Zea mays: one gene and its partner. The protein of the gene in region 2 binds, or shares a complex with, the protein of the main gene of each other region. Links are inferred from orthologs where the notes say so. Each region holds a gene or a part of one and is shown on either strand. Other genes may lie near its edges.

Region 1 (4,179 bases), on a different chromosome or scaffold from region 2:
CTGCCGACGACCTCCGCCTCGCCCGACCCCGGGGCTCGGACTCGGCCTCGGCCATGGAAGACAGACTCGACCCCGGCTTCGGAGGAGCCTCCACGTCGCCCGACCTAGGGCACATGCCCGCCACGTCAACAGGAAGCGCCATCATCACCCTACCCTGAGCCGACTCGGGCCGCAGAGAACAAGACCGGTGTCCCATCTGGCTAGCTCTGCCAGATAGGCAATGATGGCGCCCCGCTAGCCCTGTGACGACGGCGGCTCTCAGCTCCCTTACGGAAGCAGGGGAACGTCAGCAAGGACCCAACCGCTCCGACAGCTGTCCCTCCGCCAGGCTCCGTCGCTCCTCCGACAGCCACGACACCACACCAGCTGGGTGCCAAGATCTCTCCGGCTGCCACATCGGCATGTACTTAGGGCGCTAGCTCTCCCCCGCTAGACACGTAGCACTCTGCTACACCCCCATTGTACACATAGATCCTCTCCTTACGCCTATAAAAGGAAGGACCAGAGCCTTCTTAGAAAAGGTTGGCCGCGCGGGGACGAGGACGGGACAGGCGCTCTCTTGGGGCCGCTCGCTTCCCTCACCCGCGTGGACGCTTGTAACCCCCTACTGCAAGCGCACCCGACCTGGGCGCGGGACGAACACGAAGGCCGCGGGATTTCCACCTTTCTCACGCCCGTCTCCGGCCACCTCGCTTCCCCTCTTCGCGCTCGCCCACGCGCTCGACCCATCTGGGCTGGGGCACGCGGCACACTCACTCGTCGGCTTAGGGACCCCCCGGTCTCGAGACGCCGACAGATGTCCTAGAGGTTGACAATGGAGCGCGAGCATATCTACCGAGTAGGGCGCTTTGTGATGATCGATAATAGATAGATCTACAAGAGGGATTTATAGTTGGGTTAGTTTGACTATAGCAAAATAAGTCTTATCCCCTCTCTATTTTATTAGACGAGAAACGGGGGAGAAATAAATCTACGTACGTGATCCACGACACGCGAAGATATTTGGATTGAGTTAGATTAAAAAAAAAATACTTCTTTTTTATCAGAGACGATGTGAAAACTTAAAAACCAGTGCTTTACGTAGCAGAGAGTGCTTCAGAGAAGAGAAGAGAGAGTGACTATATTATTTTTAGGAAATAATACTCCCTTGATTTTTTTATTTGTCGTCGAACAAGTCAAAAATGAATTGGTGAGCGTCATATATAAAAAACTAGAGGTAGTATAATTTTAAAAAGGATTAATAAAAGTAAAAAAATTCCAACCGCACACGGCACCTCCTCTCGTCCGTTCGCCGCCTGGCTCGCACCGCTGACAGTGCGTCAGTCCAGGTCGATACTCCCTCTTTCCAAGATCCGGTCATTCTCTCTCGGGGTCGGCTACCGCCGCCGCCGTACGCCAGGTGCCGACTGCCGAGACCTTCTCCGATCTGTTTGCCGGCGAAGAGCGCCCGCCAAGTATTCCCACCCTCTTCTCTTCCCTAGTTCCCTGTCTGCTGTGCGAAATCGAGTTCTCAAAACTCTAACCTCAGACTATTTGATTAATGTGTGTACACATGTACACCCTTGTTCCTTTAATAGATCTGCCCCTGGTTTCAACCGATTGAACCCCGATGTCCGACGTCGAGAACCCTGGCGTGGGTGGGAAGCCGCCGCCGTACAAGGACCCTGACAATGGGAGTCAGCGATTCCTACTCGAGTTGGAGTTCGTGCAGTGCCTCGCCAACCCTACCTACATCCACTGTACTGTACTGTCCTCCATTCTCTTGTTTCATCTCACCTTGTTGGGATTAGCTAATCTGATGTTGCACGCATCTATAGAACGTTTTCCTGTACCGGTTTGTTACCAATTTTGATAGGGGCTGTGCTGCTAGTAACTAGCAATCCATTGCAACGGACTGAAAATTTTTGTAGAAGTGTGTGTTTGTCAGTAAGTCCCTGCTTGAGAAGGGAGCTAGGAGTGCTTAGGAATTTTTAGTACTAGCCTAAATCCCATTCTCCCCTATTCAAACTGGTCTCGTCTGCATGGGCCTCATGAGCGGTTTCTTATCAATAGGATATGATTGCTAAGCTAAGGCTGTGATATTGTTAGTAGTGTTGCTTGATATCATCATTTTGTGTGCCTCATGGCTCCTTGTTTTTTACTTGAACTTTCTTGTTCAATGCACATCATGTTTGGTACTGCATGGATGATTTGAATGCTCTTTCTTTTCCCAAATAGATCTAGCGCAGAATAGATATTTCGAGGATGAGGCATTTATCGGGTACCTCAAGTATCTAAAATACTGGCAGCGACCAGAGTATATCAAATACATAATGTGAGTGATACCATATTCAGTGGTTTTTTCTGCAACAGAGGAAATGGCTTGCTCATTGTTTTTGCTGATGATGCAGGTATCCACACTGCCTTTTCTTTCTTGAGCTTCTCCAAAATGCCAATTTCCGAAATGCAATGGCACATCCAACAAACAAGGTGATCTTTTGGCCTAGAATCACACGTTCACACTTGAGCACCGTTTTTAGCTTTTGTTTACCGTCTTGCAGTGTCATCCCTTCTTTCAAAACCTAGCTGAAGTTGCTCTGTTGGGCCATATTATTTTGACTTGCTTTCTAGAACCTATAAAAAACAGAAAGTCACACAAACTTGATATGAGTACTTTTGTAGAACTATGCAGCACGTATACTGATACATGTATCGGTATCACAAGGATACTGATACACAGATACAGCAATTTCCTAAAAATTCCCATTCATGAATACATTTTACTATTTTTTAAATAAAAGGATAATAATGCATATTAAAATGGATAGCAATCTAACAATGAAACACCACAATCTACTTAACTATTTAAGTTCTAATTAAAGCACAGCAGGTCTCAATTCTCAAATACAGTAGTCTCAAATTTAAGAAATTAATAAAAGGCATTCAGGTTTGCAATTCAGGCTCGCACCAAGTTCCTATTCCGCATTTGTCTTGCTTGTTTCATTCTCATCCACAACATTAAGCTGGAGATCACCCAAACCAAAAGACACAGCTTGCAATTCAGGCCCATCAAGGGAGAGGTCAGGCACTTCAAGGATGCCAATACCACCAAGTGAATAAAAAAATCTCCTCCCACATCCCACATCATTGTCTCTCCTGTCTTATATGCATCAGTTCTTTTTGGCAGACAAAGACCAAATCTTCAACATGCTCTGAGTTATGGCATTTCTCTTGACACTATGGATAAAGCTATAGATGAGGCTGGTTGGCTAAGCAATTTGGTGGCCAAATTCATCAATAAGGGAATAGGCTGTCCATGAGTTGTCCACAAAGTCATAGGGGAAACAGCCAATCTATCATAGATTGAGTCAGGATCATTAGATTCTTTTGAACAACTAGAGAACCTTGAGTACTCTTCTTTTACTTTATTCAATTTTTCCAGCACGCGAAAGAACTTGAAGCAATTCATCCTCATCTTTTTATATCTCTTTATTCTTGTGGGGTGGTTCATGGCTAGGAACGGGAATGGGTCGGGTCGACCCATTGGGTAGTCGACCTGACCCACAAAAGTAAGGCCAATAGGTCAAACGTCAAAGGGCCGCTTCAAAGTTTAAATTGGCTGATAGGGCCAGAACCTGTTGACCCAATGGGTAATGTAGGTCTACCCACTAGTTGCATAACAATATTTTTCTTGAATTTGTTGGTCTTCGTTATTTTTTGTTTCAAATAAACACGATTAGTCATAACTTATAGACACGTCTATGCTTGGAAGTATGTCGAGGAATATCTGGAAGTATAAATAGTTAAAATACAAAATTGCATTATTAATACTTTGTGCATCGCAGATCATAACCAAAATTCTAAAAAGTGTTAAGCCATTCATGATAACTAGGTTTGAACCATGCATGACTCCCAGCAGAATTTTAGAGTTTTGAACTATGACTAAAATATCATTTTGGACTATGACCAATGTTTCAACCATGCATGCATGCACATACAGGGAGCAACAGCCATTAGTTGGATCTGGCTATGGTGCCCAGCAGTAGCCCTCAGCCCACTCTTGTTTGCAACTGCAAGTAGGCTGAGGGAGCCGCCACTTGGCCACTTGCATTATTTGCACCGGCTAGTTACCTGGTCCGGAACCTTGTGCCCAGCTGCGTTAGTGTCCTGGCGGCCAGGCCAAACCAACCAAGCTGCAGG
Region 2 (4,516 bases):
GGTGATGGCGCAGGCCTTCCAAGTAACTGTCCTCCGGATGCCTGCAAGTAGTAAGAAGGCAACAAATTTGAAACTGAAACAGAAATATCAAACATTTATCTGAGTTTTGTTATTGCCATTCCCTATGATATATAATAGCTATCCTATCAACACCATGGGAAGATGACTGATGTCATAAAAACAGAATGAACCAAAGAGGTTTTCAATTCAAAAGAGTGATAACAATAGAAGATAGACCCTTTCTAATATCATAATAATAACTCAGTTATAACAGAAACCTGAATCTGATTTCCCTGGCTGTTGACACTATTAGGTGCAAATGTTGACATATTTTTGGGATAACTACCTGCAAATACAAATAGAAATTAGATGTGCATTTGTCAAATACATCTCCAATGCAAATGCCAAAGAGTTAAGCATACAAGGAACTTCTACGGCACAAATCTCCCATTAATATGGCAAATGTTAAACATATAAGGAACTTTTACAGCACATATCTCAATGCAAATGGTCGTGATTTTAGCAATTGAGGATAAACACTAATCCTAGCACAATAGGAGTTCGGTCTATAGCGCATGAAAATGAGACAATCGACAGATGTTAAAACTCAAAACGAGGAGAGGTTCATTAAGAGAGTTTAGATACACAAGAAAATCTACATACCAGAACTATCACCAAAATTTTGTGCACCGTCTCCTAAAGGAAGCACTTCTATCAGATGGATAGGAAGAGATTGTGGATGCCTCTGATCTCCAGGTACCCGTAATCCTGGCATTCAGATAATTTTAGTAAGGCTATAAGTATTGAAATTGTAACACAAAATAGAAGTAAAAAGGACTCTTTATTTTGGAAATCTAATTGCATTTTTTATTAATATTGACCAAGCACTATGCCTTTCACCTTCACCATAATTTACTGCTGCTCTAAGTAGGCCTTCCTGCTCCTGTATCTTTGCAGCTTGTGCTTTGTCCAATGTAGGACCAAGATTTGTCCCCTGACGGCTTCCCAGCCCATAGCTCTTACGGCATTCTGCAATTACTTTCTCAGCAGTTTCGCATGCACTCCCAATCATGTCTATTCTAACCTGAAAGGGATGGTACCAGGTTCATTCTAATTAATAGATAGCCGATAAATCAAGCTAGCAACACATGCTATAGGTTTTCATTTTTCATACTAAATTGGTCACCTTTAATTTTTCAATCTGTGTAGGCACAGGTAGATTAGTTATTCCAGACAATAGTTGCTCTCTCTTAGTAGTTTCCTCAACTTCCATCTCAGGCAGCAGTTTTGACGACAGCATTACAGGTAGTACTGCAATATTCATAAGGATTATACTGCAACTCTAATAATAAATAACTGTACAAACCATTGATAGTATGCAAAATGGGAACACTAGATGACAATGCATCAGAACAATTAGAATGACCATTTCCAATACATTTTTGTTGGGTCATTTGCACTGTGTTTATTTATCTCAGAATAGCTTGCCATGAAATTAAGGCCATGGCTAGTAGAAAACTTCAAAAGTCTGAAACCTAATTCAGAATTTTGATTAGTGGACAACTGGAAATAAACATCAGTTGACAGTAAGAAAAATCTTAGATTGAATCTTCATGTGTAATAAAACTTGTGAGAAGACCCCAAAGAAACGGCACAGCAAAGTATTAGCCCAACTGGTCATACTTGTAGTCATCATTCATCCTTACTTTAGAAACAAAATCATAGGGTTTTTTTCTAAAAATATATGGAAGCATAAATGAATCGTATAATCTCATCATGTGTTGAAAATCATAATCTCATTAGGTGTTCACCAATACTGGACCATGAACAACGAAAGACTATTTAGTGTTGGGTCAAATAAGGGAAAATGTTTGATGGATTCCTTTGGACTCAATACAGTTGGTTACATAGCAAAACTTCAACACATAAACTGAGCAAATTTTCATATCAGATAATTTCTTCCCAAATTACATGCTTCCATTGATAATCTTTCAGAGAGGTTGTTGTTCATGTCTTGATTGAACCAACCAAACTTTTACAAACAAGGGCAAAGAACTCTTAATGTCTTTGGAAATTGTTGTCCCTGAACTGGAGATGATTTATTTCATGACTGAATCAGTAAACCATGCAACTAGAACATAACCAACAGATGTTAAACTCCCCTATGTTAGATCAACTAAATATTAATTATGATTTCTAAGAAAACAAATACCATTACGTGATAACCAAATTGACACAGATAACAAAAGATATATGCATATCCATAAAGGGGAAAAAACTCAGAACGGCATACTTGTTGCATTCTCGGCATTGACATTCCGGGGGTACACGACAAACACCTTGGACACATTCTTAATGTCCTCCACAATGTTGAAGAGCTCCATGCTCACCATCGAGAACTGCCCGAGCACGTCCTGCCTGCAATTCACCCAGAGGCAGCCATACCATACCAGTAAGCAATCGCGCAGCGACGCCACACGAGCAGAGGCATCCTAATTAAACCCTAGAATCCACTGCTGCCAGCCATCAGCCGATAGCCAATAAGAGGGGCGGGGCTGGGGATGAAGTTACCACTTGGGGGAGGCGCTGGGATTGGTGCGTATGATGACGTCAAAGTCCTCGAGGATGCGGGAGATGGCCTTGTACAGCCCCACCGCGCGCGCGCGCATCCCCTCCAGGTTCAACTGCTGCTGCACCCCCGCGCTGAGCCGCTCAACCCGGGGAGCTGCCTGCTGGTCCCCTGCGGCTGCGCCCGGAGGTGGCGCGCCAGCGGCGGGTACTGCACCTAGCGCGGCCGCCGCGGGGTCCATCGCCGGAAACTTGCGTTGGGGGCGGTGGCGTTGCGGCGGAATGAAAGGGGGTGGCCGGAGGCGGACTAATGGAGGATGTTTTCAGATCGTTATGGCGGTACCACCAGTTTGCGTGTCTGGCTCAGACTGACATGTGAGGGCCGGGGGACAGTCAAGTCAATTCTCTGCACTCGACAAAACATGTGTCCAGAATCCAAAAGTTCATAATGCAGAGTTCAAAATTTGGAGAAGTCCTAACAAAATGTATACCTAGATGAGATGAGCATACAGAGTCGTCATATATTAAACTATTTTTTATTTAACTAAACTTAGAGTTAATATACTTATACAAAAAGAGACGGTGGTATTTACACCATTAAATTGGTATCACTAAATATGTGTTTTTTGTGTCATCCTCACGAGTATACTGCCTGCAGCATGCTTCAAACTTTACAGAATTTGATGGCACGTACGCCTCCTAGTTCACACAGAGGAGCTGGGGCTAATTAAAGCCAACCTACAAGCAAACGGACTTTACAATGATAGTGTAGCCGATGCCTGATGATGCTAAGTTTGTTTAGCAGTTTAACAGGTATAGATGTCTATATTGGCCGGACAGCCAAATTTATCCGAAGCCTGGTACCAACCCGGCACGGCTCGCTGCGCATCGAGCTCGGGACAGCCCGGCACGGTGGACGTGTCGTGCTTGGGCTTTGAGGCCGGCACGTCGTGCTCGGCCCGACCCAGCACGAAAATGAGCCAGACACGGCGTCTGTCCGTTCCACGCCGCATAACACACATCGGCCCTGCCCCATGACGCACCCCCCCGGCATTCGCTCGCTCGAAACCCTAAACCTAATCCCCTCCCCTTCTCCCGTGGCTCCTACCTCTTGCTCCTTGGTGACCGACGAAATCTCGCCTCTCCCGCCGACGGCTACTGGTGACGGCTACCAGCGACGGCTTGTTTGGACATCTATACTCTCCTCATCTCTTCGCTCATCATCTTCCCTTCCTCACACCCGAATCCCAATAGAGTAATCCCCATCCTCGGCTCCTGACATCCTCTTAGCAGAGGTGTTCCTCCTCGCGGTGGTGCTCTCAAGGCGACTAAGGTGCTCCGGCTGCGCAGGTTATGTCCTGAACCCTAATCTCCATCCCCTTCTCTTGTGTATTAGATCTTGATTGGAATCCCATGGATGTGATGAATCTCCTAGGTATCGCTTGTGTCGGTGCCACGTAGCTGTCCAGGGACCCCAGTCGTCGGCGAGGAGCCATCTGTCTACGGCATGGACGATGACCTTCATCCGACCGTTGTGGACGAGGAGCACCGGCTAGAATATCATAACAAAGCAGAGGATGCCCGGATCCTATTTGGCAGTAGTGTTGCCATCAACATCGATAATGATGATGATGTCCCTGGTGCCGCCACCGGTGGTCAAGCGGGCACAGGATCCACGAGCCCGACACCGACCGGCACAAGCACCGCCGCCACCAGTTCCAGTAAGTGTCCTCTCAGATCTAAAGTGTGGCATGACTTTGATGAACCGACTCACCTTGTCAATGGTAAGATGGTATGGTATGGAGCCATTTGTAAGTACTGCAAGGTGACTTTAAGTGGTAAATCTAGTTCTGGAACTGGTCACTTGCTTCGTCATAATTGCTTAGCTAAGAAAGAACAACAGTGCGCTTGTATAGTTTGATCTGTGCTTAAGTATAATTCTAATGGG

Evidence for each region.
Region 1: mediator of RNA polymerase II transcription subunit 8 (region 2) and Mediator of RNA polymerase II transcription subunit 31 share a complex: the UniProt entries of both Arabidopsis thaliana proteins name them as parts of the mediator complex. The link is inferred for Zea mays from reciprocal best matches to the Arabidopsis thaliana genes MED8 and MED31.

Annotation. Positions count from the first base shown.
Region 1 is NC_050096.1:207,962,116-207,966,294, forward strand, and holds the start of Mediator of RNA polymerase II transcription subunit 31, read left to right. Parts: upstream 1-1,379; 5' UTR 1,380-1,454; intron 1,455-1,577; 5' UTR 1,578-1,609; coding exon 1,610-1,739; intron 1,740-2,217; coding exon 2,218-2,314; intron 2,315-2,390; coding exon 2,391-2,469; intron 2,470-4,179. UniProt on the Arabidopsis thaliana protein: Component of the Mediator complex, a coactivator involved in the regulated transcription of nearly all RNA polymerase II-dependent genes.
Region 2 is NC_050102.1:151,800,904-151,805,419, forward strand, and holds the start of mediator of RNA polymerase II transcription subunit 8, read right to left. Parts: upstream 2,945-4,516; 5' UTR 2,811-2,944; coding exon 2,572-2,810; intron 2,419-2,571; coding exon 2,294-2,418; intron 1,312-2,293; coding exon 1,187-1,311; intron 1,085-1,186; coding exon 901-1,084; intron 769-900; coding exon 664-768; intron 347-663; coding exon 279-346; intron 42-278; coding exon 1-41. UniProt on the Arabidopsis thaliana protein: Component of the Mediator complex, a coactivator involved in the regulated transcription of nearly all RNA polymerase II-dependent genes.